Macaca fascicularis: one gene and its partner. The protein of the gene in region 1 purifies or fractionates together with the protein of each later gene. This does not show direct contact. Links are inferred from orthologs where the notes say so. Each region holds a gene or a part of one and is shown in the gene's direction. Other genes may lie near its edges. The genes, in order: PYHIN1 and DCAF1.

The links.
Region 2: the proteins of PYHIN1 (region 1) and DCAF1 purify together in Homo sapiens (affinity purification with mass spectrometry; 3 studies listed by BioGRID and IntAct, counting the BioPlex papers as one, with this or other methods). This does not show direct contact. The link is inferred for Macaca fascicularis from reciprocal best matches to the Homo sapiens genes PYHIN1 and DCAF1.

What each region holds. Positions count from the first base shown.
Region 1 is NC_088375.1:102,138,732-102,142,555, reverse strand, and holds part of PYHIN1 (pyrin and HIN domain-containing protein 1), read left to right. Parts: intron 1-2,463; 5' UTR 2,464-2,483; coding exon 2,484-2,748; intron 2,749-3,824. UniProt on the Homo sapiens protein: Major mediator of the tumor suppressor activity of IFN in breast cancer cells. Promotes ubiquitination and subsequent degradation of MDM2, which leads to p53/TP53 stabilization.
Region 2 is NC_088376.1:114,446,862-114,450,685, reverse strand, and holds part of DCAF1 (DDB1- and CUL4-associated factor 1), read left to right. Parts: intron 1-421; coding exon 422-601; intron 602-1,169; coding exon 1,170-1,379; intron 1,380-3,110; coding exon 3,111-3,280; intron 3,281-3,824. UniProt on the Homo sapiens protein: Acts both as a substrate recognition component of E3 ubiquitin-protein ligase complexes and as an atypical serine/threonine-protein kinase, playing key roles in various processes such as cell cycle, telomerase regulation and histone modification.

The sequences.
Region 1 (3,824 bases):
CTATATTCTCCTACTTGCCTTTTTTTTTAAACTTACATTTCCATCTCACCCTCTAAGACAATTACATTAGTAAACTGTCACATTCTTTTTCTTCCCTCCCTCCACCATGTTGGTATACTTTCTGTTTCTCTTTTCTTTGATCAGGGCTTTCTTTTTAAGACATAGGCATACATAATCAAGTTCGTTTTTCATTCTTACTCGTCTTTTGGCCTGCAGCTTTTAAAAAATTTTTTTTTAATTTTCTATTGAAAAGTTCTTCCAAAAATGTTTCTGTGTGCATCTTTGTCTGGAAAAACTACTAAGGCCTTGAGGTTCAGAGAATAGTTTTCGGGGACCTTTTGTTTAAATATCATTTTGTTTAGATTGAAATTCTAGTTTTAAAAATTATTTTTTCCTTCAAGACAAGATGAGAGCATTTCTTTCGTACCTGGGAGGCTCGATATGTTTTTGAAAATCAGAACTTGGAGGTTTAAAAGATTATTTAATGCACATTTTTCTAGAAACCCCAATGTTATCAGTGTCATTACTGCAAAAACAAAAGCACTAATATTTCAGCATCAAAATATATGAATATTTGTGTTTAAGTGGAATAAATAAAAATCATACATAGCCTCCTGTAATCTCACATCTGGTTTCATTTTGCAAGTTAATTGTGTTGTCATACTCACAAAACAAATCAAAACATCCCATTTCTAAACTTTTTGTTTAGCAATTTATATGGGATTTTGGACCAGCATTATATAAAAATGATTCCATTCTCCTGTTTCAAGTAGATTTGTTGTTGAGAATCAGTTTCAATCTAATTTTTGGATCTTTGCAGGTGATATATTCTTCATTCTCAGAGGCGTATGGAGTATGTATTTGTTTTTTATATGCTTCAGTTTCACTATATGTCTTTGTATAGATTTTTTCCTTCATTCTATGCTTTTCAATCTGAGGACACTCATGTTCTCTCAAGAAGAAAGCAATTAACAGCCCCAGGAATTTAAATATCTTAATTACATAAGAGGTACACAAATACATTCTTTCTATAATTAAAATATTTGTTTTGGTATTTGTTTTTATTGAGATGGAGTTTTGCTTTTGTCACTCAAGCTGGAGTGCAGTGGCATGATCTCTGCTCACTGCAGACTCCAACTCCCAGGTTCAGGTGATTCTGTTGCCTCAGCCTTCCAAGTGGCTTGGATTACAGGCACCCACCACCATGCCTGGCTAACTTTTGTACTTTTAATAGAGACAGGGATTCACCATGATGGCCAGGCTGGTCTTGAATTCTTGACCTCAGGTGAACTGCCTCCCTCGGCCTCACAAAGTGCTGTGATAATTTAAAAAGGAATTAGGAATCCATAGCATGCTTTGTGTGTCATCATGTGCTAAAGTGCACTGGTGCTAAAGAGGTCCAGAGGAGTAATACTGTGTCCTTAAGGGGACTCTGAAAATTTCTAGAAGGCAAACTCTCAGTTGAGTCTTAAAGGTTGTAGGAGAGGTAGTTAGAGAGAGGAATGTGGGAATAGCTTTCCAGGCAATGAGAAGAGAATTAGCAAAGTCATGAAGCATGAAAATGTTTTATACTTCTGAATCGTAAGATATAAGGAACACACAAGTGCCAGAAGTTTAAAAAAGAAAAAAGAATGCAGATTATTCAAAGTTTTCTGAAACCAATACAAGAAGCAAGGAATGTATTGAAAAGAAAATGAGCAAATATTGAAACATTTCAGTGGGATAAAAATGTGTTTTATAGAGATAAATGTGGATCTGTTAAATGAAAATGAAATAGACAAATCGAGCCTAAAAGAAAAATCAAGCAACTATCAAAATATTCCAGCCAATAAATCCTGTGTTCTGCAATAGAGAAAATGTAGATGTCCAGGAAAGTGATAGTTTTATGGGCACAGAGGACAAATACGGCAGGGTCCAACACCAAGGAAGAGGATACTAATGATAGCTGACAAGAGAAGAGTTAAGGAGAATAGGGTCTGTGTCCCAGCATGAAACTGTAGTGCTGTAGCAGAAAGTTATTCATATAAGATGGGAGGCTGCAGCCCATTTACACCTAGGCCACTCCAGTCATAGTGGTGGGTGTGGGAAGATTTAAGAAACAACAGGCAGGTTTTGGGGGATAGGCCCCAGCCCCAATAAAGGATGGGAAGAGGAACCAAGGACTTTGACACTGCACAGCCCATACTCTAAACACTGAGACAATTGCTTGTTCACAGACCTCCTCCTAACACCTGGACCCAATTCAACTATCCTCATTCAATGGGAAGAATTACTTGGACATTCCTAAAGAAACAGTTCTTCACACTCAATTTCTACAGTAACACATTTGGTCATTAAGTCCTTCTTTATCACACATATTCATGAACAACTCTTTCTTATGGGCCACTCATTCACAGAGGCATACATCTTCTTTTAAATTGTCTGTATATGTGTGTAACACTGTCTACCATTTTTCTCTTGTAGGCTCACTTATATCTTTAGAGATGGCAAATAACTACAAGAAAATTGTTCTACTAAAAGGATTGGAGGTCATCAATGATTATCATTTTAGAATTGTTAAGTCCTTACTGAGCAATGATTTAAAACTTAATCCAAAAATGAAAGAAGAGTATGACAAAATTCAGATTGCTGACTTGATGGAAGAAAAGTTCCCAGGTGATGCTGGTTTGGGCAAACTAATAGAATTCTTCAAAGAAATACCAACACTGGGAGACCTTGCTGAAACTCTTAAAAGAGAAAAGTTAAAAGGTAATTGGGAAGAGGGAACACCCACCTGCTGCAACCATCCCCACCCTTCCCAACCTTGATTAGAATGCCACCTTGGTCATAGCTGATACATCCTTTTCCCAATTTGTGACTCACTGGCCGTGACATTGTTGGCACTTCAGATGCCAACAAGTTGACAACTTATGGCATTCCATTACTAATGTGGATTGACGTATATCAGAATATCGGAGTTGAGGTGCAGTAAAAGAACAAAAAGGAGAGGGGGTTGAAGACAGACTGAGACTTCTAGTACATTTGACAGATTACATAATGACAAAATAAAATTATAAAAAAATTGTTGTTTATATCTGAGATATGTACATTTAGCCAATTAATGTGTCCATTCTATTGAGAATATTCAACACATCATCATTCTTTATAATACAAAAGATAACATAGTATTTAAATGTAAGCATTGCTCCTGGTAGTATGAAGACCTCCTCTCTTGTCATATCATTGAGTTAAAATAATTAAAACAAAGTCGGCCGGGCGTGGTAGCTCAGGCCTGTAACCCCAGCACTTTGGGAGGCCAAGGCAGTTGGATCACGAGGTCAGAAGATCGAGACCATCCTGGCTAACAAGGTGAAACCCCGTCTCTACTAAAAAATACAAAAAATATTAGCCAGGCATGGTGGCAGGTGCCTGTAGTCCCAGCTACTTGGGGGGCTGAGGCAGGAGAACGGTGGCGTGAACCTGTGGGGCGGAGCTTGCAGGGAGCCGAGATCGCGCCACTGCACTCCAGCCTGGGTGACAGAGTGAGACTCTGTCTCAAAAAAATAAAATAAAAAATAAAAAAGTCAAAAGTCACAATATCTCACCTCACAAACCTATATAACATCTCCTTTCACTGGTTTCTGTAATTTGAATAGATTATCTGGAGAATGTGACTAAGCAGTCAGCATTATGAGAACCTTACATTTTAAAAGGAAATGATAGAAGAATAGGATTGGGAAGGGGTTTGACTGAGGCCCATAGAGTTCAGAGGACAGGAAGGATGTCCTCACTGCACAGAGGAGGAGTGATGAAAGCACTGAAGAGTATGAGTCAGTGTTTGTGCC
Region 2 (3,824 bases), on another chromosome or scaffold:
CATCAAAATGTGTGTGAATTAACCAGAGAATGAATACCAAACTCCTAGACTTAGGATCAGAAATCTGAGCCACTTTTATCACATTGGAGAAGTTCCTTACCTCTTCCTCTTCTTTTAAGTGAGAATCCTAATACCTGTATAATGGAGCCCTCGTGAGCAGTAAATAATGTAAATATTTGTTGGCACTTAGTAAGTATAGGTTGTATTTAAATATTTATCTAAATTTAGGTCGTTTTCAGGTTCGGAATGGATTGTGTTCTAAAATTGCCTTTGTATTATAACCTAAACTTTGTACTAAGAGTGACTTGATTGGAAATGGTCATTGTATTCTGCAGATATCTATACTGGTGAATTTTTCATCCTGTTCGAGGCTCCTTTGCCCACAATTTAAAAGCATTGCTTTATTTGTATTTTTTTGCAGGTTTGCATGCATCCCCACAATGTTCTGTCTGATGTGGTGAACTATACCCTGTGGTTAATGGAGTGTTCTCATGCTTCAGGATGCTGCCATGCTACCATGTTTTTTTCAATTTGCTTCTCATTTCGGGCCGTCTTGGAGCTCTTTGACCGCTATGATGGTCTTCGTCGTCTGGTGAACTTGGTGAGATTATTTCAGTGCTTTTCTCACTAGGATTAAGGGTCCTGGTTGTCTTGGCTGCCCTTTAACAGCACACCCTTGAAGAAAGGAAGCTTTTGGTTAGAGGAGTTTTGCTGCCATTCTTTCTGTGAAGTTTTTTTTTTTGTTTTTTTTTTTCCTTCCTTCACAAATTTCTCTTTTTCTTTAGTAGTTTGAGGACACTGTGCCATTGTAGACTTGCCTTGGATATAGTAATCTTATCACGGGGATTGGCAGTTGATGATCTTGATCTTTCTAAAAGCAATAGTTTTATGCCTGTATATTTTTTGCTGTGATTAAAAGCTTGTTCATTTTTCGGTATGGGTTTAATGTTTTGTTTTCATATAGCTACTGTTATCATGTTATATACACAGATATACATAAATATGGTTTGATATTTGTCAGTATTGTTAAGCATAAAAGTTTACTGATACATAGCAGAATGTGTGTGGAAAATAAAAAAAGTTTACTAAAATATTTTCCCATTTTTTAATCTTTTTTCTTAACTCTTGCCTTTTCCCCTCTTTTACCCCAATATTTTGTATCTTAATAGATCAGTACTTTGGAGATTCTAAATTTGGAAGATCAGGGTGCACTTCTGAGTGATGATGAAATATTTGCTAGCCGCCAAACTGGGAAACATACCTGCATGGCCTTGCGCAAATACTTTGAGGCTCACCTGGCCATTAAATTGGAACAAGTGAAGCAGTCACTTCAGAGGACTGAGGGTGGCATTCTTGTCCACCCACAACCCCCGTACAAGGTGAGAGGACCTTGTCTTGAAAGGGAAAGTTCTGTTAGCCCTCTCTGTAGCATCTCAGTCCTGAAACTCACATTCAGATCAGTGGACTCTGTGTTATGCCCATTGTTGGAGTATACTTCCCTGTTTGAAGGCAGAACCAATTGAAAAATGGATGTAATAGGTGAATTTCAGGGAATTATTTTGCTTCCAGTTGTAAGTTGCTGGGATTCTAGAACTAAAAGATTAACTGAAGTGTGTATAAAAAAGCTTTCTTTTTTTCTTTTTGAGATAGTCTCCCTCTGTCGCCCAGGGTGGAGTGCAGTGATGTGACCACAGCTCATTGCAACATTAACCTCCCAGGCTCAGGTGATCCTCCCACCTCAACCTCCTGAGTAGTTGGGGGACTATAGGCACACACCATCACACCCAGCTAATTTTTAAATTTTTTGTAGAGTTGGGGGTGCAACTATGTTGTCCTGGCTGGTCTTGAACTCCTGGGCTCAAAGAGGCCTCCCACCTCGACCTCTCAAAGTGCTAGAATTATAGGTGTGAGCCACTGTACCTGGCAAAGAACTATTTTGTATGAAAAGTACTAGATGATTTGCCTTCTATGCAGAATTTCTTTTCTGAAAATGTGTTTGTAACTCTACTTCTCTATCATTGTGGAGTTTGATATGTTTTGGGATATAGATGAGTAGCTGCATGTTTTTTAAAAAATCACCAACTGATTTCTTGAGGCCAGTAGTTTGAGACCAGCCTGGGCAACAATAGTGAGACCCTGTCTTTACAAAAGTTTTAAAAATTGGCTGGGCCCTGTGGTGTGCATCTATAGTTCTAGCTACTTCGGGGGCAGAGGTGGGAGGATCATTTGAACCCAGGAGTTCAAGACTGCTATGATCATACCACTACACTCCAGTCTGGGCACAGACTGTCTCAAAAAAAAAAAAAAAAAAAAAAAAGGCATGGTGGTGCATGAGTAGCCTCAGCTACTCTGGAGGGTGCGGTGGAAGAATCACTTCAGTCTGAGGGTTTGAGGCTGCATGTGATCAGGCTATGGCACTCCAGTCTGGGCAACAGAGTGAAACCCAGTCTTAAGAAAAAAAAGTCACAAATTGAAAAGAAATCAGTCACATGATGCTTCTTTCTCTTGAGCTATAACTTATATGCACAAAGGAAACTTGTTATCTTTTTGGACAAATCATATTGTGAGTCTAATTATAAATAAGGTAAAAGATTAATCAATATATGGTCATTATTTCACATATGGGCTTTTGACTTAAGAATTTTGGAATTTGAAAGGTATTATTATTTACTTTTTAATTAAAACCTTGGCCAAGCATGGTGGCTCATGTCTGTAATTCCAGCACTTCAGGAGGCTGAGGTGGGAGGATCACTTGAGTCTAGGAGTTCAGGGCTGCAGTGAGCTATGATCGTGCCACTGCACTCCAGCATGGACAACAAAATGAGACCCTGTCTCTACGAAAAATAAAATAATTAGCTGGGTGTGGTGGCATGTGCCTATGGTTCTAGCTACTTGGGATGCTGAGACAGGAGGATAGCTTGAGCCTGGGAGATTGAAGCTACAGTGAGCCATGATCAAGCCACTGCCCTCCAGCCTGGGCGGCCAAGTGAGACCCTGTCTTGAAATAAATAAGTAAAATGAAATATCTTGGCCAGTGAGCTGCGCTCAAGAAGGTAGTAGGCAGATGTAGAGTTATATATAATAATAATACTGTATATCTCTCCTTATAGGCATGCTCATATACTCATGAACAGATTGTGGAAATGATGGAATTTTTGATAGAATATGGCCCAGCACAGCTATATTGGGAACCAGCTGAAGTCTTCCTCAAACTTTCTTGTGTGCAACTCTTGTTGCAGCTTATTTCTATTGCCTGCAATTGGAAGACCTATTATGCAAGGTGGGACCAGAGAGAGATTTCAAATGAAGTTTGATGCATCTTTTTACTAAAGTTGATGTTGGTTTGTGCATGGTATATGCTTAACAAAATTTCTTGAATTGAAATTTTGGACTTGAAACTGAGAAATTAGGCATGAAAATATGATTTTTAATTTACAGCACACTTGTTCATATGTATGGTCTTGGTGATTGTAAATATTACGTAATAGGCAAGGATCAGCGTCTGTACTGTCAGAGAAGGTACGTGATTTACATGGCCACAGCTGCAGAGCTGGGGTTAAAGTCTTGTCTTGAGGCTAGAGTCCAGGATTCTTCAGTGCTTAGACTTTAAGTGTCTTGCTAGTACTTGACAACCATATATAATGTTTATATTATGTTCATATAAAATTGTCCTTTTACTCTTGGAATTCAACACACTGTTAGGATTTTCACAAATTAGTTGAAGGGAGAGCAGGACAAGGCCCAGAAAAGGGTGGCTGATGTAATCAGGAAATTGGGTAGGTTCTATTTGAAGATGATATAAAAAGAAATAAAACTCTTTTGAA